5 separate regions of the Mus musculus genome follow, and regions 1, 3, 4 and 5 are each reported to be linked to region 2. The links are microRNA targets in miRTarBase. Many come from high-throughput screens and were not tested one by one. Region 2 holds a microRNA gene; each other region holds the end of a gene's coding sequence.
What was found. Region 2 holds the annotated microRNA mmu-miR-124-3p (UAAGGCACGCGGUGAAUGCC, at 1,469-1,488, shown strand). A microRNA usually pairs through its seed, bases 2 to 8, with sites in the 3' UTR of a target mRNA and lowers its output. Matches are read on the target gene's strand: a 7mer-m8 pairs with bases 2 to 8, a 7mer-A1 pairs with bases 2 to 7 and ends in A, and an 8mer does both.

Region 1 (5,102 bases), not on the chromosome of region 2:
GAGGGTTAGACACGTCCAGCCACTGAGCTAGTCAGAGCATATCAAAGTTAGATGGTGTGTGTCTCTCATTCACAAATCCCGGGAACACTTGGCCAGCCGGGAGTCAGGGGTCTAAGCACTACAGGGTTTGGAAACCAGCCAACACTAGAATCTGCACTTGTGACTGAGCAGGGGTACGGACAACAGCTAACAGTCTACTTGAGCTGCACTGCGGCTCAGAAGATCACTTCCCGGAGAAAATTCACCTTGGAGTCCGACATATCTCACCTTTGGAAGCTAGAAACAACTTCTAATTTCCTTCACTGGAACAATGGGTAAAAAGCCCTCTTGTAAGCTAGTGGGGGCCAATCAGACCAAATGTGGCAGAATGTAGAACACCTGGTTGGTGGGACGGGAAGTCAGGATTTATTGGGTTGCGGCTTAATTAATGCTCAGCACAGACTGACTCCTCCTTGGTAACGTTCAGCACACTCGACAGCTCTGAAATCCATTCCATTTCTATACCTTAAAAAGCAGTGTATTTTAGAAACAATTCAAATAAACATTTCTCTCGCAAACTTACAATTGTTTATTTTCCAGGATAGACCAAAGGATGACTTTGTGTGTGCGTGAAATGACTGACTCAGTTAGTTAAAGGGTGACATCTTGATGAAGGACCCTGGATGGCTTAGAAAAGACAAAGGAGAAAACCGTATAGAAAATAAAAACTTTATTTTTTCAAGTTTATAAGATAGTTCCCATTACATATAACATTATGGTCAAGGACTCTATAGCCACAAATGCCCGCAGTCACATAAATATATATATCCCACCCATGGATGCCTTTTCCTGCTACAGAGGCATCTGGAGTCCAGAGGGAGAGTGGAGATCCAAGTAGAAATGGTCCTGAACTGGGATGGCTCCGCTCAGTGTGAGGAGGCAGCCAGGGAGCCATGCTCACTAGAATTGACTCAGGGTAGAGGGAGGGCAAGCGGCCCGCAGATGAGGCTGGGACACAAGCGGGGTTCTCCCCCTCGTGGTTTAGATGTTTGGGAAGCTCAGAACGCCAACCTGGCATCTACAATGGGTGTGTCTGGGTAGTTCTAGCTGCTTGACCAGTGAGCAGCCGGGAGCACACGCTTACTCAAGGGCCTCAGCTACCTGGGGAGAGTGAGGAATGAGGCCCAAGCTTGGCACTTGGCGGCTAGCCTGCACTCTTCCAGGACAGCACCGAGCTCTGCCTGGTGCTCCTGTCAGTTGTGTGACTCCCATTCAAAGCAGTGTCTATGGAAGCGCCATGAGCTTGCTGCTGCAGCTTGCCAGTCAGATTCTACTTGGAGCTGTGAAGGTTGAGCTTGGGTGAACACGGACAAGCTGTGCCAAGTCTCTTGGGACACTAGCTGTCACCCGACTAGCAGAGAAGAGAACACCCCCAAATCAAAAGCCCAAGTAGGCACCTAAAATGTGGAGCAGGTATCCACTCTCGCGGACATCACCGGCTGCCCCAGGGGCACTGGACAGGGTGATGCTAAGGCACAGTCACTTTTACATTCGAAAGTCAAGCCACCTTGTATCCCAGGACATTCCTGCCACCCCACACACTCCTAGAACTAGCTGTCACCATGAGATGTCCTGACTAATCTTCCAGAACACAGGATCCAGCAGGGAAAAGATTCACCAGCTAATTTCTTCAAGGTGTTCCTTCAGTAAGGACTGCCTTCTAACTTCCAACAGCTTTTAATATTAAAAGGAATTTCTATTTTATGAGTGTTTCTTACACGTATATAAGTGCTTGGTGCCTGAAGAGGCCAGAAGAGGGCAACGAACCCCCTGGAGCTGCAGCTAGAGGTTGTGAATAGCCTTGTGGGTGCTCAAACCTTGGACCTCTGCACAAGCTGCGGGTGCTATTACCACCAAGCTGTCTTTCTCTTACTAGCAGCTCTTGATGCTGCCTGCTCATTTTCCTTCCCAAGCCTCTGTGGGTGGGTGGGAGGGAGGGAGGGAGGGAGGGAGGGAGGGAGTCAGCACAAAGGCAGCAGTCCCTGGAGAGACCAATGCACTCCTCTGTCTACCCTGACAGGGTAGCTGCTTTGGGAACAGTAGCCACTCAGCTCAGAACACCTCCTTGCCTCTCCAGTCAGGGCAAGAGGAAAGGGATTACCTGTTATATTCTAAGAAGAGTCTCCCCTGAAGTGTTTGTGGTGGTACCTGTGTGCAGAAGGGTGTGTCGCCACTTGGCAGTCTGGTGAGCCTGAAGCACAGCACTAATAGGTGGCGTTGTCCAGCACAAGAAACTCCACTGTTAATGAGGGAAGGACTGAGACTTGGAAGTAAAACTCATCCTGGAGTTTCCCAGGTTGGACCACCAAGCAAGGCTGGCCAGACTAGGGTAGCGGTGTGGTGCTAATGGCAGCCTAGGAGGGTCTGACTTAGACTCTAGCTCCTTGCTCCCACCCAGTACCTCACAACAAAGCCAAATGAATGGCCAAGACACAAACCTCACCTCCTGTCTGAGCCCCTTCCTCAACTGCTGGTCTCAGAAGTACTCAGAAGTGTCCAACAGTTCTGAAGGTGGTGTCAGCCTTTCTGTCGTTATCTGGTAGCCTAGCATGAAGAGGAATTTTGCCTCTGGGCTGTGGTATCGCTGCGGACAGTGACTATAGCTAGGGGTTGGTCAAGGACCTCCTGAAGACCAAGGCTGCACATTTCCTCAACTCTAGGGACGTTTAACCCAATTAAACAGGCACCGACATTGGTCCTGAAGGGATAGTGCCGTAAAAAACAAACAAAAAACCCAAACAAAAACCAAAATAAAACCAAAACACAGCTGGGCTTGCGGGCTGGCACTAAGGCCCAGTTTCCCTCCTGACTGACTAGGGGCAGCCTTGAGAGGTGCTCTTGCACCTAGCTCAGGATTGTATTTTTAAGCACTTAAGTCAAGAAAGTCTTTCTGGCCTGGTTTCCCACTTCAGCATGGACTCTAAGCAGTGGGATATTTCATGGGTTTTGACTCTAGCTCTCTGCTCTCCACTCGTAGGCAGAGATCTGTATAAATACAAGGTGGGATCACCGCATGTAAGTGCAGGTGAAGGAGGCAGCTAGAGCCTGCCCCCTTGGCCTTTCTGACTTGCAATGAGTGGGTAGGGGCTGGCCAGAGCTGCACAGAGACAGGTAGCTGTGAGGACAGGACGTGAGGCCAGCATCTGACGACTGAGCCGACCACAGAGGAAGCATCTGCTGGGAACAGGTACTGCTCTGCAGGAGCACGAGGTGAAAGTCCTAAGAAATCTGAGCCCTTCTCTCCAGTCTGGAGGCTGAGCCTCCTGGGACAGAACTTCTGAAGTACAAGCTAAAGGCTTAGATTTATTGTCTATGGGAAGGAGTTTCCAGGGTTGTGCCATTTAGTTACAGATGAAGGAGGACTGCCAAGGAGACCGAGGCTTACAAGATGGGAGATGCCACAGTCTAAAGTAAGTGACCAGGGCCTTGTAGATGGCAAGGAGCCTCCCCAGGGAGCAGAGCACTGGAGCCTCTGTCCTGTCCAGTCACGGAGGTATTTTAGATATTTCCATTACTACTGTCACGGAAACTTTACACACGGCTTTCTTCATAGAAAAGTGGGGGAGGCTGCTGTAGAGACCAGACCCTCACCTATAAAAATAACATACCCATTCACTGGGAGAGACATTCTATAGCTAAGAGACCAGAAGACGATCTCAAGGGGACAGTTTCCATCCACATCAGGAGCAGCTCCCGGTCAGTCCGTCATGCAGCAAGAGTACAACTGTGCCCCAAGCATCGGCTTTTCTTGTTCTTCCTTTTTCAATTGAAACAGAAAAATTAAAGCACGGTAGCGGCAGCCGGTCTGCAGCTCTATCCAGCCACCTCTTGCTGTACAGGGGACATGGGCTGCAGCTCACTCAGAATAACTGCAGTTGTTGGTTCTGATTGTGTTCTCGCCAGCATTTCATGGAGGGAGAAAGAGCAGAAGAGAAGGGGGAGGGGGCACTGAGACCCGAGAGACAGACAGGAGAGAAGGGGCTCAGAGGGTTCTGGCTTCTGGCTCCTGTTGGAGGTAAAGAGAAGCTCACAAGGAAGGAAGGGTCCACATTCCAGTTCTCAGAGGAAGTCAAGCTCTAAAGCCTGGTGCAGGGACACCAGATCTCCGTGGTTTGTGATCCTCCAGAAGGGCATGTTGTGCTGGAAAAGAAGCAAGGATAGTCAGCGCAGCTTACACCCCTCCACCAGACACCTTGAGGCTCTTGGTAACCGTCTATGCTTGCCCACCTCACAGGACTGAAGCATCAAGTCATGAGTAATAACTGTCCAACACGGGACACTATCCTGACATGAGGAACTTTCAGGTTTCAATGCTACCTGTACTTTTATGAGATACCTGTTCCAGCTTTTAAGGTCTTCAGGATCAAATACAATGGCTCAAATAAAAAAATTAGTATTTCTGAATAAGGTGGTGAATACCTGTGATTCCAGCACTTGGGAGACTGAGGCAGGAGCGTTAGAAGATTGAGACCAGGCCGAGCAACAGGAGATCCTGTTACAACTGATAGGCTGGGAAAGAAGCTGATACTAAAGTAAGTCTCACTACCTTGCAGATGGTCAATTTCCTGTCAGTCTTCGCTCTAGCAGGCTCAAACCCTACCCATGCCCCAGATGTCGGCTGTGCAGATGGCTCGCCATCAGGCTTGTGCCCCTTGGCACCATGTACAGTGCTGGAAGGGCCTTGAGTGTTGGAATCCACGTTCTGTGAAGGGGAACCCGATTGGTTTCATTGACTCTGTTCCCTGTGGAGCAGTGCCAGATCAGGGCAGGAATGGCAGGGAGGACACTAACAGTGTGCTGACCCCATGGGCAGGCTGATGGGATTAGTCTCCTCCTCCTTGGGGCACGTTCAGGCAAAGATTAGTTTTCTTTCATAAAAGCTGGCAGAAAGGTACCTGACAGAAAGTAGGTTAAGTTGCATAAAACACTTAGATTTTTGGGGGAGGGGAACGCTTTAGATAGGATTTCTCTGAGTAGCCTTGGTTGTTCTTAAACTCAGAGATCTGCCTGCATTCAAGACTTTTTTTTAATTAAAGATTTATTTATTTTATGTATATGAGTAC
Region 2 (5,102 bases):
GGGCCGCCAGCAGGAGGCTAGGACCCCTTTCTTTCCCCCCCCCAGGAGAGAGAGGCTCAGAAGCCACTGTGTAGAGTGGTTATTCCGGAAGGACCAGCCGCTTGTGTGAGGCAAGCACAGTGTGTTCGCTGCACAGCGGGGTGTGGCTGGTGGTGGGTGTAGAGGAGCTGCGGTCGGTGGGCTGCGGGAGAAGCTTTTGCGTGGGTCGTGCAGTAGGACAGAATGAGCGGTTCGAGAGTGTCCAAGAGGCAGTTTCTCTGCATACGTGTGACCCCGGGGCGCCGGGCACAATCGAAGGCGTTCGAGGGCTGCATCCGTGTGAGTCGAGGAGCGCGCGGAGCGGGACGCCGAGCGTGTGCGCGGGAGGCACGGGTCGCGCGGTGCGTGAGTGCGCGTGTACGCGGTGCGCGTGCCCCTCAGTTCTCAAGGACACCTCCGAGAGGAGGCGGCAGAGCCGGTGTCGGGTGACGTCACCGCGCGCCCCAGTGATAATCGCCCGGTGCCGGAGCCGAGCGCGGATACGAGCGGAGGCAGCGGCGGCGGCGGCGAGCGCGGGGACGGTCGCACCCGGTCTAGGCAAGGAGAGTGGGAGTCAGACTCCCGCAGTGCCGACCTCGCGGACGCCGGGCTCCCACCCGGCCCTCAGGAATTTGCCCGGCTTCCTTGGCACTGTCCCTGCGCTCTCCTCCACCCGGGGCCGTAGCGTGCGGGTCCTGCGGGCGCCAAGAAGGAGGCGGAGGCGGGATCGGGCGACAGCGCAGGCTGTGCTGCGGAGCGGAGGCGGCAACCGAGAAGCAGCAGGCGGCGGCGGCTCGCGCCCGGACGGGTAACTGCGCTGGCGGCCCGTGCCGGGGCGAGCCGGTCTCTCAGGTCACCCCGTCTTTCTCTCCTCGAGCAGCTTCTCGCCAGCCAGAGGCGTAAGAGAAGAGAGCTCGGCGGGTTGTAGAAAGAGACTGCTTTTCATCTCCGAACATCGAGGTTCTTTATTTTCACCGCACTCACGCACTCCTGGTGGGGCCGGGAAGAGGAGCCGGGGAAGGGCAGCTGCGGAGAGGCTTGCGCCGCCGGGGTGGAGAGGGCTCTGCACCCGTCAGAAGACTGCAGCAGGCCGGAGCACGCGCGCTCACCCCGGCCGGCTCCTGCATCTCCCTCGCCGCGGCTCCGAGGGGTCCCTACTGCAGGAACGCCCCGAGGGATTTGCCCGGGCCCTTCTCTACCTCGGGGAGGGGAAGGAAAACTGGCTCCTCGGAGTTGGGGGCGGACCAGGGCAGCACTGCCAGCTTAGCGCGGAGCCCCGCCCCGCCCGCCCGCCCCGCGGCGAAGAAGCTGGAGCATTCGCGCCCCTCAGGCTAGGACCCCACGCAAGCCGCAGCCCGGCCCCGACCCGGTCCAGCCGCTCGCCGCCCGCCGCAGCCCTGAGGGCCCCTCTGCGTGTTCACAGCGGACCTTGATTTAATGTCTATACAATTAAGGCACGCGGTGAATGCCAAGAGAGGCGCCTCCGCCGCTCCTTTCTCATGGAAATGGCCCGGGAGCCCGGCCGTCGCGGCGCCCCTCCCGCGGGAAAAAGGCGAGCCCCGGCCCCCGGTGGCCCCTCGCTCCGCGGACAAATCCGGCGAACAATGCGCCCGCCCAGAGGGCGGCCCAGCTGCTGGGCCGGGGATCTGGCCGCGGGACACAAAGGGGCCCGCATGCCTAGGACGTCACGAGAAGGGTGGGGGCGACCGCGGGGGAGAATGTGGCCACCCGGCCCCTGACCACGTGTGTCCGCAGCTCTGAGTGCTCGAGATCCCGAAGAGGGAGACGAGGGCCAGAAGACAAAGGGAGGGGCTGGGGAAGCGGCGGGCTGAGGGGCGCGGGAGGGAAGTGTGCAGCTTCCCGGGTTGTGTTGGCGCGTCCCGCTACCCACGGGCAGTCCTGGGCGCTGTCCTCGGTGCTGGCCGTGGAGTCACCCAGAGAGACGGGGCGCTAATGCGCTTGGGGCGAAGGGATGTCATGAGTATCACTGTTCCCATCTAGGGGGCCCTGGATAGTTGCCGCAGCAACCCCAGAGAAATGGGGTAGGGTCTGGGGTCACTGCAGTCTGTCCCCTGGGCGCTCTAGTTGGGGTCGCAGGGTGAAGGCGGTGATCACTTTGATTCTGAAGAAACCCCTGAACCTTAGGTTGAGGTTCGAGCTGTGGAAGTGGGGGATCTGCATCTGCATCCAAGGTCTAAATCTGGGTGGATACACTGGACCGCATCCCGCCCCCAAACCTCTCTCCAGCTATGCGGGACGCGAGGCACGTGAGGCTCTGCAGCCCAGAGAGAAAATGACAAATCCTCCTCCTCCCTCCCCCACCACCATCTGCAGCCGCAGTGACACCCACTCAGGTCTGCTGCAGGCATTTTTTTTCCTGTCCTCGGCAGCCAGCGCCACCTGCTGGCGTCCTGGTATGAGACTCTGCTCTGGCATGTCTCCTCCCAGCAAGGTTTCCGATCCCCAAGGTTACAGGCCCTATTACCTAGGGCAATGGTTCTCAACCTTCAGAATGCTGCTACCCTTTAATAGAGTTCTTCATGTTGTGGTGACCCCTCCCCCCAACCATAAAATTATTTTCGTTGCTACTTCGTATTTTGTTGCTACTTCATAACTGCAATTTTGTTACTGTTATGAATCCTAATGTAAATATTTTTAGAGATAGAGTTTGGCAAAGGAGTCCTGATACACAGGTTGGAAACTGATGACCTAGGATTGACTGTCAGTGGAGGAGGTCACAACCTCTGCACCCCCACCCCCTCAGACAAGTTGCAGACTTGCTTTTCATCTTCATGGGGTGAGTGTGAGCCCCTTTCCTGGCTCTGACCCAGATCCAGAACTGACCGCCCAAATTCTCCTAGCCTCAAGTCCTGTGCAGTTGCAGAAAAGCAAGACAAAAGGGCCCGCGTGAAGACACAAAGAGATGCTGCAGGGAGACTGCTTCAGTACTCCATGGAGAGATGCACACAGTCACACACTCATAGACCACTAGTGCCTTTGCATCCTGTCCCCAAAGCAGAGCCTCTGCAGAACCTCTGCCTCTTGGAGGGTGGAGAAGGGGCCCAAGCATACCACAGCTCTGACCTTGGGCTTGCTGTCTCTTTTTCCCTTCCTCCCTCAGAAGAGCTGCAAGGTGAACTCAAAGCAATACTGAAGGAATTGGTAGAGGTATCAGTCCTCTAGTGTAAAGGTTCCTAGGGGGCACAGGACTATGCCCCTCGTTGAGCTCTGTTGGGGGTGCTCTACACTGCAGCCTGGCTCTTTTCCCAGAGGGAAGATTCCCCCTGCCTCTCCCCTGGAACTAGAGCTCCATTCTTGTGCCACCGCTGCCCTTGCTGGAGAGTTGGCTCCTGACCACAGTGACCTTCTGGGCTGTGAGCAGAGATCGGGGTGGGGAGGATGGTAAGGGAGGTGGGCTGGAGAGTGGATAGGCGGTAAAGCCCATGGCAAGCTGCCCTGTGCCCCAGCCCAGGTTGAGTAGCAATCACCTTCACTCACCTTCATTGCACCCCCTTCAGTGGAGGCTAGGGGCTTCAGTTCAGGGGCACAGGACCAATCTGGGCATGGCTAGCAGACATGGGGCATTCGGTAGGAAGGCCATTTTTCAATCCTTACTGTGCTCAGGGTGCAGCACTGTCTGCTGGGGTGTGGGCAGGCCTCACGCAGGTGACTTAGAATCTCAGATCTACCCGTAGGGGGCTGAGTGCAAGCATCACTCTCTGACTCTCGGGACCAGCAGCCTTTTCTGCAGCCGCGCTTTGTAGCCTTTGTGGGCTAGCTTGGATGTCCATCCCTGTTTATCCTAAAATACATTCATCCCTACATAGACTGCCTGATCTATTTAGAAGCCAAGGCTCAGCATACGGGCTTGTTGGGTGCCAACCTGGTCAACAGCAAGCTGGGGAAAGAACATTCAGAACATTCACATAAACCTCCATCGGCACTGGGCCCTCTTAAGTGTAGGGACTAGAGAAAGGAGAGACACGGTTCGAGCATCCAATATAGTACATCTCCACTCCGAATGAAGCGCAGCATAGCTGCTGTCCCAGAGCAGTCACCTCATAGCTTTCTTGGGAAACCCTAATTCTCTCCAGAGGGGAGCATGTCACTTTTAGCCTTTTTGTCCTATTGGGACTGGAGATGCTTCAGAATTCAGCTTCCTGTCTCCATACTTCCAGCTCCCAGTCACAGCACTTCACGTGGAAGCATCCAGGAGCCCCGCACTGCTTGCCCTGAAGTCTGTGCTCTGGTAGTCTCTACCCGAGGCTCCAGCCTCTCTGCGCCTCATCGCCCCAACCTTCACTCCTGATGCAGCGGGTGGGGGCAGAGATGTTTCAGAGGGAAAATTAAGATGCTAGAGTGCTCCTGCCATAGCTTGTTAGAGAGACAGAAGAAAACGTGGGAAGAACTTCAATTGGCAGGAGGGAGCGAAGAGGGTCTGATTCTGCATGGCGGCCCCATCCAAGAGGAAGCAAGACAGGTATCAGCTTCTCTAGTGCACACACACAGATCTCCTCCCAGCCTCAGGCTATGCCCAGTCCACATGGCACACAAGTTCTACTTTCCACAATAGAGCTTCATTGGCAGCACCTCCCAGGGGTGTGATCAAAAAGTCATGGGAGTCCAGATTGCAGGGGCCTCTACCTTAGCCCATGCCTGCCCACTCGTACCCTAAATTCTACAGGATTCTGCCTTTACCCAACACAGGTTCCCGGACCTTTGTTACCAACAGAGGTCTAGGCTGCTCCTCAGCATCAGCTTGACCAGAAGGGTAAACCAGTATCCCCATGGCTACCTGCGACCTCCTAGTTGGTCACATGAGCAGGCCTAGGCTTCCTTGGAAGCTGAACCGTGAAAGTGCTGGCTCGGGCAGAATTTGATTTAAAGGGAGGATGAAAAGGGTCCGTTTGCACAGCCTGTTGTGCCACCTACACCCTCACAGCTGCTCCCATCCCTTCAGAGCTTAGGTACAGATGTCCCTAGCTCCTAGCATCAGCCAAGATGTAATAATAGCAACAAAAATTAATAGTAATAATAGCAACATGCCTGCCCTTCCAAGGTCTACACTTCCTACCTGGCTGCCA
Region 3 (5,102 bases), not on the chromosome of region 2:
ATGAGACGTTCCCAAGGGTTAGATGATGGGAATGTTCATTTCAGTGTTGCTCCCTTGAAGAACTTCCTATGCTCTCTGTAGTCCTGGTGACAAATCTGTGAGATCCAAAAACATAGAAAGCATTAGTGGTGGTTCCCTTGTGGCTCTCACCACCAGTCTTCAGAGGATGTAGCTGAGCCTAGAATGTTTTTATATAATACACTCTGTGCTGTGTTCTAGACACGATAGGACTTTACAGGGCAGGAGCTGTGGTGGTGATGACAGCAGTGACTCCCTGTCTTAGTCCAGTAATATGCTGTACTGGAGTCTTAGAGCTGAAAGCGAATGAGCAGATCACTGTGCACAGGGGCCTTAGCACTATGCATGTGCTCTGCCTCTGAGCTGTGTGCTCATAAAATATGCAGGAACTAGATATACAGTCTTAGAAGAATGAAAATAGCTGCCCCTGTTGAGGAGCTGGCTCTGCCAGCTTTAGTCCTTAGTGCCACCCTGTGACCCAGGAGCTAAACATTGAGGAAGATAGAAGTAACAAGCGCATGCAGGCAGCTAATGGGCTGGCTGGATGGGTGCAGCTGTGGCGAGTGCTTCATCCTGTGCTGCTTCCTCATGCTTATTTTATCCAACAGCTCAACTTACTAATGTTATAAGATGGGGCTATCTAGTTGTCATCAAACTCACTAATGTATTTGTCTTGTAGGAGCAAGTGGTGATGAACTTGGACAGCAGACTTCTGATCTTCCCTCTGTACATCTGCTGTAACTTCTTGTATATATCACCAGAAAAAAGAACTGAGAGTAATCGTCACCCAGAAAACCCAGGACACTGAGGCACTCATCAGTGGCCAGTTTTAACTTAATGACCTACTGCGTTCACGTCCAAGGTGACTAACAGTGACCGGCCTTATGAACTGTGGGACCCTGGAGATGTCCTCACCCTCATTACATTTCTATGCACATATGAAAAAGTTTTTTAAAACTGAGAAAGCATCTGTCAAACCATGTTAAAAGGATATCAACTCTTGCTTTAATTTAGTAGCAGTAAAAATTGCTGTAGGTAAATTTCTCATTTCTTTGCAACAAGATATAGATTTAATTTTGAGCTTGAATTTCGATCCTATCTAATGTTAGTGAGTTTACTCATCTGTAAATGTGTTCCTGTTTTGTTAAGAGAATGCTAAGGACGGAGTTTAAGTGGCCAATCATAAATGCTCTTTCAATTGGTGCCTTTAAAGCTGTCCTTTCATTTGTTCAGCCACCTGGTGAAGTCTTGTGTTCAGTTGAGATCCTTTCCAGAATCTTCTTCGTTTTAGCCATCAGATCCCTTGTCATGGTTTGGGAGATTAAGCTTAAGAGTTGGTTTTGTTTCGTTTTTCTTTTTTCTTTTTTTATTCTAAATATAAGCATTTTCATATTTTTTTAAACTTTAACTTTCCTACAGTTTTAAATGACAACAAGAATCAGCTTGAGGACTTGAAATAAACTTGAATAAGGGAAATCAGTTTGATTCTGAGGATATTCCTTCGCCTTACGTGCATGGTCTTGTCTGGCATTCTGTGTACTCTTATGTTATGAATTATTTATGTACAGATACATCGTCACACATTTTCATATTCTCTGATAGTTGGAATTTATGTCAAATTTTAGTTGGGAATCTTGTTTCCTATTAAGCTCAGGACTTTATACCCTCTGAACTGAGTGCCTTTGAGTCACATACATAAGTAGATTTCATGGTGAATGTACAGGGGGAGCTGGGAACAAAACAGTCGTGTTAGAACAACTTACCTTGTCAAGAATAAGATGTATGCTCATCCCGATCTGTATGTGTTGGTCCCTTGTGTTTATTGCTATTGAAAATAGCCTGGATCATTGTCCTCCAGTCAGAGTAAGTGTTTTTGTGGTTGATGTATGTTTTTAGTATTTTTTTAAATTGGAATCATTTTTATGTATCTGTTCAAATAATAAATGCTCATTTGGAAAAGGAATATGCTCCTGTTTAAAGTGAACTTAAAAAGCTTATTGAAACTAGTTTTTTTAGTTTTGGGGTTTTTTCAAGATAGGGTTTCAAGATAGCCTTGGCTGTCCTGGAACTCACTCTGTAGACCAGGCTGGCTTTGAGATCCACCTGCCTCTGCCTCTCGAGTGCTGGAATTAAAGGGGTGTGCCACTATCACCTGGCTGAAACTAGGATTCTTTTTTTTTCCAAGTAATTGATCCTTTGTGTTTGTTTTCTTTTAAAGCAGAATTCTGTTACGACTAGGAGAAAAGACAGCCGGGCTGGAAAACTGAGTCAGCGGCTTCTGGGGAGGAGCTAGAAAAGGGAGAGAAAGCTTGCTCTGAGTTAGGTCCCAAGGCAGGCAGCCTCAGCTGTGGAAGGCTGCAGGACAGACTTCGGTAGATCTAGCAGGCTGCAGGTATGTCTGGTAGGAAAACAACAAAATGTAGAAAAGAAAGGTTTAGCTGGGCTCTTACTCTCCAACACACAGCACCTACTCCTGCCTGCCTTTAGCTTTGAATAGTTTCAATGGTGGCTTTTCTCTGCTGGCAGTCAGTGACAGGTTCACAAATTATCCTGTCTTTCAGAATTCCACTGCTGTGAATGCCTCCTCCCTCGTAGAGTTGTTGTCTGGAGATTGCTAAAGCAGTGGCTGGATCGGTGAGAGGCTACATTTCTGACTGTGCACCTGGCTGTGATTATCTCTCTCCTGCTGCTCTTTTCTTTCAGATGCATAAGAGATTCTTTACTCTTTATATGTTAAGTTAAAAAACAAAAACAAAAACCAAGAAAACAGATAAAGCACACTTCTGTAATCCCAGCACTCAACAAGCTGAGGCAGGAGAATCTCAAGATTGTGGGCAGCCTGGGATGCATTGCAAGACCCTACTTTAAAACATCATCAACAGAGAACATAACAACGACAAACAATCATACTCAAATATATTTTTACAACTCTTGGAAATGAAAGCGTAAATATACCAACAACAATTTAGGTCACTAGTCAGGGTGGTTCCTGTTGGTTAGCACACTCTCCTGGTCACTGTCAGCTTACAAAGCGGCAGCAGTGTCAGGTGACAGTAACCATCGAATATGGAGACTTCATATTTGTCAGCCCTTCTACATAGCCTCTGCCAAGTTCTGGGTGAGTTGGGTTTTTATTAAATGTTAAAACTAGAAAGCTATCCACCAACAATAATTTCTTTGTCTATTATATCAGTTAAGAGAATATATTGTAGTTTTTTTATTTTTTATATTTTTAGAATTATTTATGTATATAAGTATACTGTAGCTATCTTCAGTCACACCAGAAGGGGGCATCGGATCCCATTACAGATGGTTGTGAGCCACTGGGTGCTGGGAATTGAACATGGGGACCTCTGGAAGAGCAGTCAGTGTTCTTAATCACTGAGCCATCTCTCCAGCCCCCATATTGTAGTTTCATCCTGAATTATTACAGAGGGGCATGGACACATGTGCGTGCACACACACACATACTTCCAGTCCTTTCTAAGAATTTACCTTGAACCTTGGCAAGAGAGTAAGCAAATGGAAGCAGTACTGGCCACTAACTTTTGGGGTTAGCTTTTCTTCACATGGGCTCTCACTGTGTAGTCCAAGCTGGCCTCAGACTGGAGATCCTTGTGCCTATACTTCCCAGTGTCCGTGCCTCCCAAGTGCTGAGGTTACTGCTCAGTACACCCCGGAAATGTGTTCCCTTATGCATTAGAGTTGTTAAGTGTGAGGTGTGAGAGGTGGTTAAGCCCTTTGTGAGCCAGTGCAGCTTTTATAGAGTGGTGTCCTACCTTGTCCTTTGTCGATCTCACACCACATGATGCACTCCGGCCCCATGATACCAGAACCTCCACAGGTTTGCACTGTAAGTTACCCCATCTCTGCTATCATACTCAACAGACTGCAACACCCACCCAGATTCATAGCCTTATCTCCAGGGTGTTTTTCTTTAATTAGTCTCTCTGTATTACCACAAATTGTCCTCAGAAAAAACCCAAGTCTACTTCTCTTCCCCACCCCTAAAACTTTGAAGAGGCACCACATGTGCCATCAGGTCACCCTAGGTCTCACCTTCATATCCCCCACCTCTTGCAAAGACCCTCCCCAGCTCACATTTCCCCCTTGTTTTCTGGCTGGCTTCTACTCCTTTCCTTCTGGAAGCTCTTCTGCATGACCCTCCCCTCATCTGTGCCTTCCTGCTGTCCTATTCCTTGCGGCTACACTTCTGTAACGCTTCCTTGTCTGTATCCCTCTCACGCCTACAAGCCTCTCAAACTTAAGTACCTTTGATATCTAGATATGCAATGTATGTGAATAGTGTGACTAGTGGTGATGTTTTATTTTCTGATATTTCCACACCTCGTACTTTGCTGAGAGGGCAACCCGTGGACTCCCTTCACATGTGCGTCTACACAGAGCAGCCAGTCCAAACCTTACTTCCCCAACCACGTCTTTTAATTTTGTTAAAGGTTGACGATGCATGTGTCCCCTGCATGTGTGCATTGCACAGTGTGTGTGCCTGATGTTGGGCATTGGATCTCCTGGGATGCGATCATGAATGCTTGTGAACCACCTTGTGGGTGACTGGGAACTGAGCCCCAGTCCTCTGAAAGAACAAGTGGTATTAACTGCTCAGCCATCGGGCCAGCCCTGTTGTCTCTTTAAGCCAACTGTCAGGCCAGGCCAGTGTTCCCTGCTTGAATCACTCATGGGCTAGGTACCAGATGACACAGACCACACCTCCCAGGGCCTGCTGCGATGATTTTAAAAACTAGCTATCTATCGCTTGACTTTGGGAAATGTACTGGATGGTGTTGATTGTCACCTCAATGGGATTTAGAATCACCATGGAAACTAACTAATCTCAGCATATCTCTTTGTGGGGGATTATGTCTATATGAGGTTGGGGTGTGGGTGGCCTATCCTAAATACAGGTAGTGCTATTCTGTGACTCAGAGTCTTGGACTGTACAAAAAGGTGGATGGCTGAACCTACAGCATTCAACATTGTTTGCTTCCTGACTACAGATGTGGCTGTAACCAGCCACCCCAAGTTCTGTTGCTATGCCTTATCTGCCATGCTGGGATCTGCAGTGG
Region 4 (5,102 bases), not on the chromosome of region 2:
GCGGTTCCGGCTTCAACGGAGGGGCGTGGGCACTGTGTGCTTATGCCTAACAGATCTCGGGATCTCTGTCGCTGGTTCTTCCCGTAAGCTTCCTCGATTCCGGGGTCTCATCCAGCCCTGTACGGTTAATAAGAGGACGGACTTGCCAACATGGCCTTTGCTTCCAGGGCTCTAGGACCCGACTGGCCCGGTTAGATAGATGACCGTCACCCAGCTGTGTTGACCGGGTTCAGTCTGGAGCCTCAGCTAGCCTCCAGGTCTTGCCTTCCTTCTGCTGCCTTGTTTTGATTTAATTATTATTTTATTGTGTCAGTGTCTCGTACTACATACTTCGACTCACTGTATAGGATGCTCTTGAACTCTTGATCTCCTGTTTCTACCCCCTGAAAGCTGGGATTACAGCCATGTATGTGTCACATCACCTTCGTGGACCTGAAATGCTGAGTATCAGATGCAGGGCTTCTTGAATGCTAAGCAAACATTCTACCAACTAAGCTACATCCCTGGCCCTCGATTTTTTTTTTTTTTTAAATTTTCTTCAAGGAAAAGTGTCACTCTGAAGCCCAAGGCTTCCCTGGAACTCTCAGAAGTCCGCCTATCTCAGCCTCTAAGTGCTAGGAGTTGAGGCACTGAGCTACCATACCTGCCTTTTATACCTTTCAAAGTAAAATGTTTATAATAGAATGTTTCAAACAGAGCAATACAAGTACCTGTGGACCTACTACTGGCTTGGAATTCTATCACACTTACTTTGATTCACTCCCCTTTAGCTTTATTGATATATAGTGGGGAATGAGAAACCCCTTGTGTACTAATTCTCAGTTTCCAGCCTCTCCCTCTCTGTGCCATTTCTATGCATGTCTTTACACGTATAACCACTCTTCTGCTGCACATTCAGACATGTAATTTAAATGGAATTGGACCATCCCAAACCTATGATTTCTCCTCTCCTAAAACTATACTTTGAATGGAATCTCTAGTTATTGTCACTGCTCATTGTTAGACACATCATTTGCCTACTCCCTTGCCAAGGGGTTTCAGTTATTTCTACGTAGATGCTCTTTCAGGAACACCACTCGCAAAAGCTTCATCAGGCAGATCCCAGAAACGGGCTCTTGGGAAATTTTCAACTTTACGAGTTCTTGCCAGTTTTTCGCCCCCCCCCCCCCGGAACTGACTGCATCAATTCACCATTTGCACTCCGTTATAGCAGTATATGTCCTTTGTGAGCCACTGAGGAATTTCTCATGTTTGAGAAATTCTGAGGGTGTGTAGCTGAGGCTGGTTGAAGGAGAAGTGGGAGGAAGAGAACTACGGTGGCTGCAGGGGACACGCAGGAATGTACATAATATGAAACATACGTGAGGTCATCTTAAAACATTGTCCCAGCACTCGGGAGGCAGAGGCAGGCGGATTTTTGAGTTCGAGGCCAGCCTGGTCTACAGAGTGAGTTCCAGGACAGTCAGGGCTATACAGAGAAACCCTGTCTTGAAAAACCAAAACAAAAAACAAAAACAAAGAGGCCTTGGCGTATGCACAAGCTAGACTGTAACATGGTGGCTTCATGTGTCACTAAATTCCTAGAGGGTAAAACATCCATATTGGTCTTGTCTAAGGAAGCGCAGGTGAATGGCTCCCTGGATACTGAGGAGAGCCATGGCAATGTCTGTAAGAGCCTGCCACAGCCACATAGGACTTAGCCTCCACCCTCAGAGCAAGGGCAGTGCAAGAACTGACCTGATCCCCTCTGCTCTTCTCACTGTTGCTACAAGCAGGGATGATGGAGAAAAAGAGAAGTGCCCTCCCCCCATTCCAGTCCCCTGCCCTCGTCCCCTGCCCTGACTTCCCTTCCCCAAGCCAGCATCCCATTGAGGCCAGAACTGACTGAGGAAAGAAACCTCAGACTACACTTGGAACTTTGGCTTATTATGTTGATGACTGAGATGACATTATTTTGGGGCCTAGAGGAGCTAGCTACACAGTAGGACTTCTGAAAAGCCAAGAGTGAGCAGAAAATTGTGACTTTCTACCCTCCCCCTGAACTTATACCTAAGGATAAGAAAAACAGCCCACTGAAAGCACTCAGCCACAAAACACTGTTCTTAAAATTTTGGCTAAGACACCACGTAATGGTAAAACTTCTGTTAAAACCAAAACAAAGAACCTAATAATGCCTCCAAAGTGTAATAAAGTTGGAGTAGAGATTCCACAGTCCTGAGGTGGTAGCGTTGATACCTGAATCTAAGTTCATTGGAGTGACTGTCACATAGCAATGTTGTCAGTGATCCCAGTACCAACGCAGAAAGAACAAAGGAGTGTGTGTGTGTTCTTTGTACATCTGCAACTTTTGTCCTTTGTGGTGCTGAGAACACAGGGTATAGCTACCCCACTGAGCTCAGTTCCATGTGACACTTAAAAGGCATGCTGCACTGACTAGAGCAGAGAATCACTCGTTTTCAGAGAACAAGCTAACATGTCATTCAATACCATTGAGTAGGCCTTAGCATATTTAAATGCTAGTGGTTTTGTTGGTTTCGTTACGTTTTTGATATGAGAGAGGGGTGTTATTCCTTAGCTTATGGGAGAAGGAAACAATCTGGGGGACTTGGTTCTTTTCTTCTTCCACGTGGGTTCTAAGGATTGAACTCAGGTTGTCAGGCTTGGTAGAAAGAGCCTTTACCCACTAAGCCATCTCAATTTCATCGTTTGTGTGTGTGTGTGTGTGTGTGGCTGTGTGCACCCATGTGGAAATCAGAAGCTGACATCATTGTCTTACTCTCCATCCTCTTCCTCACTACCACCACCACATCCTCCTCCTCACCACCATCATCATCGAGACAGGGCCTACCATTGAAACTGAAGCTCAGGGATTCAGCTACACTAGCTGGCCAGTGAGCCCCTGGGATCTGTTCATCGCCACATCCCAGCTTTGGGATTACAGGCACACACTCATTGGCTCTGCCTGGCTTTCACATTGGTGCCAGGGATTCCAACACCGCTCCTCGTCCTTCTGCAGTAAATACATTACTCACAGAGCCAGCTCCCCAGATCTTGTTTTGACTTTTTGAGACAGGGACTCATATGCCCAATCTGGTCTCACAGTGGCTATGTAGCCAGGCACAGCCTGAAGTTCCAATCTTCCTGCCTCCACCTCTCCAATGTAAACATTGGCCTTATAGAAGCAGGCTGACATAATGATTAATGTGTTTCTTTTTTTAATATTGTTAATTTAAGTAGAAACTTAGTATCCTTAGTAAATTTAGTATTCCTTCAAAAGTAGTTCCTTCCATGGTTCAGGGTGAAAAGAAATCTCTAGGGTAGAAAAAAAATCAGAGAAAGAATACACACCCCTTTAAAGCCACCATTTTAATTAAAAATGTCTCATGTTGTATACAAACCAAACTTCATGATTAAATGCAAGCACAGTTTCTGAATAAGATTAAAAAGGCACAGTGGGGATCAAATAAACAGTCTAACGAGATTAATTATTTTTAGCAGAAAAACTCTTCTGAGGTCAGCCACACCCAGAGCATTGCATTATCAGAGCAACCTTGGCTGAGGCCACTCTTGACTGTCACTTTGAGCAAGATTAGGACAGTGACCCTAAGACTGAGGAATGTTCAGCACGAGGAACGACCGAGCACACGGGATCTGCTGAGCCACACTTGAGATTGAACTTGTTTGATGAGTTGGTAACTCTGTTTCATACACTTCCCGGGAAGAAAATGGTCTCAGGGTAGAAGGAGATGAAGCAAGCCCCACCATATTCAGCAACTGTCAACTACGATGATAGGCAGAGCCAAAGAAAGGGGGCTTGTGAGAACTTTGGATCTGTCTAAAATAAGAATCTAGATGGCTAATCTTAGTAAGAGATGCTGACAGTCCCACGTGAAGAAATGACTGGCTTCCTAGGGAAGAAAATGGCTTCTGATCTGTAAAATTTGTACTGAAAAGAAAATCTAAAAGGATTTAGTACATTCAACCTCTACAAAACACAAACGAGGAAATAATCTGATAAAGACGTGGAGCACATTTCAATTTCTAATTCTAAATTTCCATGTATGTCTTGAAAGCTTTGAAAGTACAAGTTTAAGGCATCAAAATGACTAATTATAGACGATAATAACATAGTCTGCATCCCAGGAGGCAACTGGAGGCGTTTTAATTGGAAATAAGCATTTGAGATAATGTTAATAGCAGTGCAGAAAAATGAAGTTAAAAAAAAAAAAAAGATCAGTGTTCAGAAGCCTTCTGTCCTGCGGCGTCTTGTGTTAATCATCTCCTCCACAGAGAACGAGCAGAACCTTCCTGTAGTCTCCGGAAGTGTCACCCTGGGAGAAAGGAGAGCACAGGAGGCAGCAGGGTAAGATGTTCTTGGATAGATTACACAGTTCAAAATCACCTAAGTTTATTTTGCAAACCTCACTGGATTTTCTCAGGTCCTCAAAAATTGTTTTTATTACAAACGTAATGCTTTGGGCTGGAGAAATGCCTTAGCCACTAAGATTACTTCTTTTTCTCACATCGAATCTGAACTTGGGTTTTGGTATTCCCAGTTGCCCATAATAATAGCTCCAGGGGATCTGATGCCCTCTTCTAGTCACCTTGGGCACTGCACATGAGAGGCACATATACATATGTACATATACATATACATGTTCTGTGTTTTAAAAAAGTACTTAAGAGCATAGGAATCACCTATAATTCCATGACCTACAGATCACTGTTCCTAACATTCTGACAAGTTCCTTCTCCTTTCTATATGCATGCAGATACCTACGTGATGAGATTTTTAGGACGGAATTCATCTATGTCCTCATTTTGCTCTCTTGATTTTTGGTGGTGCCAGGACCAAATCATGGCCGTCCTCATGCTAGGCAAGTATAGGCAAGTGCTCTACTAGTGAACTGTACACTCAACCTTTATATCTAGTTTTTTTTTAATTAGGTATTTTCTTCATTTACATTTCCAGTGTTATCCCAAAAGTCCCCCATACCCTCCTCCCCACTCCCACTTCTTGGCCCTGGCGTTCCCCTGTACTGAGGCATATAAAGTTTGCAAGACCAGTGGGCCTCTCTTTTCACTGATGGCCGACTAGGCCA
Region 5 (5,102 bases), not on the chromosome of region 2:
ATGTCTGTGCAAGGATGGCAGATGAGCTGCTGTGGGTGGTGGGAATTGAACTTGAGTCCTCTGGAAGAGCCATCTCTCCAGCCCCGGGTCCTCCTCTTAAGGTGCCTTTTGATTGAGCTGTGTTCCATCATCCCACCCTACTAAATCTCACTCTTCTATTTCAGCTGAGCCTCTTTTTTCCCATCGTGTTCTGCGTCTGCTCCTTGTTTCTGGTGGCCGTACCCCTCTTCAGTGACACCATCAATTCCCTCATTGGCATTGGGATTGCCCTCTCTGGGGTCCCTGTCTACTTCTTGGGTGTATACCTGCCAGAGTCCCGGAGACCACTCTTTATTAGGAATGTGCTGGGTGAGTGTCTCTTTGCTCCCATTTGCCCCACTGTTGGAGGCTGAGTGCTTATGTTGAGGGCTACACAGAGGCTACCAACTCTTCTCCTTCCTTATGGCAAAAGGATAAGACCTGGTTTCCCATCACACTTTTTTGTGTTCTACTCTAGGGCTAAAGCACTGTCTGTTTTTTCCAGTGTTCTTGGGTTTGTTGTATTTTTTGAGAGAGGGTTTTGTGTAACTCAGGCTAATCTTGACCTCACTATGTAGCTGAGGATGACCCGAGACTCCTCATCCTCCTGCCTTTAACCAGGCAGGAGTGCTAGGATTCCAGGCGTGTACCACCTCTGGGAAGAGAAGGCTGGGTGTGGAGTGGAGAGGCTTGCTGGTTGTAAGGGACAAGACCAGGCTTTGTGTGGCTAAGGGATAGGTGGGAAGGCATCACAGATATTCTTTCAGCCTTCTGCTATTGAGATCGTAACTGCAGCGAGTGTGTTTGCTAAGTCCTGTGCTTCTTATCTTCATACAGCTACTGTCACCAGAGTCACCCAGAAGCTTTGCTTTTGCGTCTTGACTGAGCTAGATGTAACTGAAGAGAAAAATGTTGAGAGGAAAACTGACTAGAAGCCAGAGATGACATTCCCTGAAGCCCAAAAGGCTGTGGTCGCAGCCACCAAAGACCAGTTCCCTAAACCTTCTGAATTAAAGGAGCCTCTTGGCCCACATTCTGTAAGGGGGCTCAGGGCCAATGCTCTCTCATTGGTAAGCTATGGGAAGATACCAATTAGGCCAGCCTGAAGATGGGGACTTCAGTGGGAGGGGAGGTTGGGCAGGGCATTGATTTAGTTTTACTTCTGATGAGTAGATGCAGCCCTGAAGGAATATTAGACTGACAGCTCTGGCTCTTGATTCACAGCTCTTTGTAGTTTAAACCAGGAGTCTACAGTGGGGCTCCTTCATGGGAAGTTTTCCTCTGACCCTCTGACCAAGTCCAGCTACTTGATTTTTAGAGGTCTGAAATGCTACCATTTCTTCCTATGGCTCAAAATTCTTCCTTGAGGAGAGCGTTGTGTTCCCCTTTTTGTTTGTTGGGTGGCATGAACAGCAAGGTGCTGTGTAACTGACATGGGATCAATGTGTGCCTCCTTCCTGAATTCCACAAGAGGAACAACACTCCCTCCCTCCCCGGAACTTCAGGCTCAAGCAGACAGTGAGCTTAATGGGAAGCAGACTGTTGAGGATCTAGGCATGAAAGTCCTCTAACTCGTGGATCCGAATGTTGCTGTGTCTTTGGGATCTTATTGTGTATAGAGTGTCCCTCTCCTTGAGGAGGGGCTGCCTGTCTGACTTTGCTTAGGTCACATTAGCAGTATGGTCAGGATTCTCAGGCAAGGAGGTGAGCTTCTGGCTTTTCAAGGAATTCGACTGGGCCACTTGATTGTGCCCTTCCTAGCTGAATCCATGGTGCTGTGGAGCCCTTGAAACAAGGGCTGAGAGAAAAACCTCACTACTCCAGCTGAGTGGAGCGTCTCTACTACCTGGACAAGCCACAACTGTCACCAAATTTCAACTCCTGTATGTCATTATTTATTGATATTTAATCCAGGATACCAGTTGTAACAAACCATTAGTGATCATTTCTCTATAGGATGCAATAAGTGAATTGTGTTTTTATCTTAGCTGGCCTGGTTGCACACATCTGTAATCTGAACTTGGTATGGTGAGGCATAAGGAGTTTGAATTTGAGGCTAATTTAGGCTACATAATTTCCAGGTAGCCACTCTGGAAAGATCAGACAAGATCTTGTCTCACAATATACCTGTTATACTTTAATATACAGATAAGTCACATGTTATTATCATCTGGCTCAGATCCAGCAAGGACAGATGAGCAACTTCATGAGTCATAATACTGCTATTTTGAAGGACAATCCTTTGTTTTATTAAGACTGTAGATCTTTGTTCTACTTGACATAAAATAAATCTTTGGATTTTTGGTATGAACTGCAAGAGGCCTGGAATGTTCTACATAAGGTGTTATGCAAAATTCAGGTAGATAACCTGATTTATCAGTTGTCACTGGACTCCTGGATTCAAGTCAAATAGTTTGTTATCTTTAAGAGCCTGTGCAAGATTGGCTATGTATGGACTCACAAAAGCCCACTCTGCTGGAAGTGGTCACTAATTTTCTGAAAGCACCAAGCTTTGTTTACATGCTTGGGTCATGGGACAGTATACCCGCTTGCCTTCTCTTGTCCAAGGGCTGGGCAGGTGAGATTGAAGTCTCAGAAAATGCTTGGTACTTGTGCATCTGTCTTCTCCCTATGAAGATCGATGAAGACTGTGGGAGAAAACAGCTTCCACCCCAGCCTCGCTCCTGGTAAACGGTAGAAACTAATTCTGGTGATCGGACTAGGCTGCCAGTTAAAGCCAAAGCAATAGGCGTGAATCTCTGTGAGCAGTGTGTCTACACAAGATTGTAGAACTCTTTTGATGCCCTTAGACATTGCCACCTTGGACACAGAAGAACCTGCTATGCTGTCTTGGCATCCTTCAAGGACATTTCAAGTTTTAGAATTTGTGAACAATACAGATAGTAACTATGTGGCAGTCTCCCAGTACCAAACTGGCTCTAGACTCACAGGAGTAACCTTAGATATATGCTTGCTCAATAAAGACTTAGGGGAGTCTAATCACAGTTGCCATTGGTTCTGGACATGCATCTCTGAGAGAGTGACATTCCTACTGTCATGGGTTGGGAATCCTGTCTGATAAGGAGCTTTGTGTAAAGACTGACTTGCCTAAGCCATACAAGCATGATTCATATCTGAGCTAAGCTGGTATCCATTCCAAGGCTCTGCTAGAGCAAAGCAAGTTATGACCCTGGTTTTAGTGGTCTTTGGCCCTTAACCAGCTTATCTCAGGAGTCTGCTGCCCTCCAGTGGTTTCTAAAAGCAGGGACCTCACACTGAAGGTGCTCTATTACTTCCTTAGTGAGCCATGTTCTCATCGTCACTTGACTGATAGCATTTTTTTTCTTTCTAAGCTGAACACAGCTTCCCCCAGGAACCTTTTCTGTGGGAAAGAAACCAGACTTGTACAGCATTCAAGCTTGATAGTGGAATTCTTCCCATCAGGTCTTTTGTCTCTTTGAATCCACCTCCCAGTGTGCTAATCCCATTTATAGTGGTACATTGTTCCCCTCTTGTAGTAGGTACAGCCTGTGAAGTTGTTGGCTCTTTAATGTCAGCGTTAGCATAACAGTGAGCACACTGTAGTGGTAAATAGAATTTTACTCCTGCTTATATGCCTACAGATCAAGATGACTAGTGTTAGATACCACATTGCTGCCTTTTGCTCAAAACACTGAATTGTTGATACTCAGAGTAACCGAGATAGTTTTTGTTGATTGGTTTGATTAGTTCCAATAACCACTTGGATATACAAATTAGATCACTTTGACAAGTTTAATAACTTCTACTTAGGTAAGTGAAAGGATGTGTAGAAGCGTATGAACTTGTAAGTACTTGGAAGAAGGCATCTGAGTTACTTTCCCATGGATCTGTCACAGGAAGAGGGTATTTGCTGAATTGAATGTTGCCTGTTACTTCCCTACACCTAGTGTCTGCTACAGTAACTAGTCACATGTAACTAAAATCTAGCCAGTTTGATAAGTGTCCGTGCATTACACTAGCACTTGGAAGATTAAGACAAGATTGCAACTTACATTTAACTCCCTCCCCCACAAATGCTGGTTGTGGTGGCTCATGCCTTTAATTCCAGCACTAGGGAGGCAGAGGTAGGTGGATCCCTTCTGAGGCAGCCTCATCTACACAGAGACTGTATCATCCCCTCCCCAAACAAAAACCGTTGAAGTTTCTCAGTTGCCCTAATCATATTTCAAGTGCTCAGAAGCCACACAGGTGTACCGTGGATACACAGAACATGCTGTGGGAAGTTTTATTGGACAATACTACATCTAGGGCTAAGGCAGCTGAGATGCTGAGTTCTGGTGACAGTGTCCTATTGATGACAGTTGGCCTTCCATGTACGGGCCCTGCATTTACTAATCTACATTTTGGGGCAATGTGCCTATTCTAAATATGGAAAGATTTACTCTCATTCTCCAAAGAGTTGTGGTATAATAATTTAGTGTTTACATTAGATTTTTATAATCTGAAGAGGCATAGACTTTGTAGACATACCGTGTCATCTTATGTAAGGGACTTGGACACATGGTGGTTTTTGGCAGCCCTAGAACCATATAACAAGGGTGATGTATGTAATGCCTTGGGTGAGTGCTATAAACAGTTGACATGGCCCATAATGTTTAAAGTTAATTTTGAAACATGTAGTTCACCAACCTCTCCTTTTTCTATGAGGAAAACACCTAAAATAATCAGATCTAAAAAAGAACTGCTTGCTTCTGTGTAAAAAGTTAAGTTTTTATTAAAGATCATCACATTCATACATACTGTTCCTTGGTACCACTGCCAAAGGTGATAGCAGTCTTTATAACCATTATCAGAGTCTAAAGGGGGCGGGGGGGGGGGGGGGGGAAAGACATGACCGCCCTGAGGCGGGGGAGTCACTGTTGTCCTTGCAGAGATCATCTCCATCACTGGGAGCGGGCTCTCCCTCCTCCCACCAGCTTCTTTAGCCCTGAGCATATAAGTAAAATGACAGAAAAACCACCAGGGATGGAGGTTTTACATCATTTTATTTTCCAGAGTGTAAGATCACTTTTTAAAAATAGAATGCCCAGGCTGTTTAGTCT

Region 1: miRTarBase lists Eya3 as a target of mmu-miR-124-3p. Seed matches in the 3' UTR shown: 8mer at 1,509-1,516.
Region 3: the mRNA of Gmcl1 is a reported target of mmu-miR-124-3p. Seed matches in the 3' UTR shown: 7mer-m8 at 1,220-1,226 and 7mer-m8 at 1,695-1,701.
Region 4: miRTarBase lists Anxa4 as a target of mmu-miR-124-3p. Seed matches in the 3' UTR shown: 7mer-A1 at 4,091-4,097 and 7mer-m8 at 3,445-3,451.
Region 5: the mRNA of Slc7a6 is a reported target of mmu-miR-124-3p. The part of its 3' UTR that is shown has no 7-base or 8-base seed match.

What each region holds. Positions count from the first base shown.
Region 1 is chr4:132,720,356-132,725,457 of GRCm38, reverse strand. It overlaps Eya3 (EYA transcriptional coactivator and phosphatase 3), which reads right to left. Exons shown (of 17, transcript NM_210071.2): 17 at 693-4,179. The coding sequence ends at 4,099. Xkr8 (X-linked Kx blood group related 8) reads left to right here. Exons shown (of 3, transcript NM_201368.1): 3 at 1-554. Among named protein-coding and RNA genes, the nearest start is that of Xkr8, 9.6 kb to the left of the region's middle.
Region 2 is chr2:180,892,615-180,897,716 of GRCm38, forward strand. Mir124a-3 (microRNA 124a-3) reads left to right here and starts at 1,426; the gene lies at 1,426-1,493.
Region 3 is chr6:86,688,647-86,693,748 of GRCm38, reverse strand. Gmcl1 (germ cell-less, spermatogenesis associated 1) reads left to right here. Exons shown (of 14, transcript NM_011818.3): 14 at 698-1,981. The coding sequence ends at 826. Among named protein-coding and RNA genes, the nearest start is that of Snrnp27, 6.7 kb to the right of the region's middle.
Region 4 is chr6:86,733,493-86,738,594 of GRCm38, forward strand. Anxa4 (annexin A4) reads right to left here. Exons shown (of 13, transcript NM_013471.2): 13 at 3,348-4,331. The coding sequence ends at 4,272. Among named protein-coding and RNA genes, the nearest start is that of Gmcl1, 2.7 kb to the left of the region's middle.
Region 5 is chr8:106,195,689-106,200,790 of GRCm38, forward strand. It overlaps Slc7a6 (solute carrier family 7 (cationic amino acid transporter, y+ system), member 6), which reads left to right. Exons shown (of 10, transcript NM_178798.4): 9 at 165-348; 10 at 856-3,026. The coding sequence ends at 950. It overlaps Slc7a6os (solute carrier family 7, member 6 opposite strand), which reads right to left. Exons shown (of 5, transcript NM_001007567.2): 5 at 4,750-5,102. Among named protein-coding and RNA genes, the nearest start is that of Slc7a6os, 13 kb to the right of the region's middle.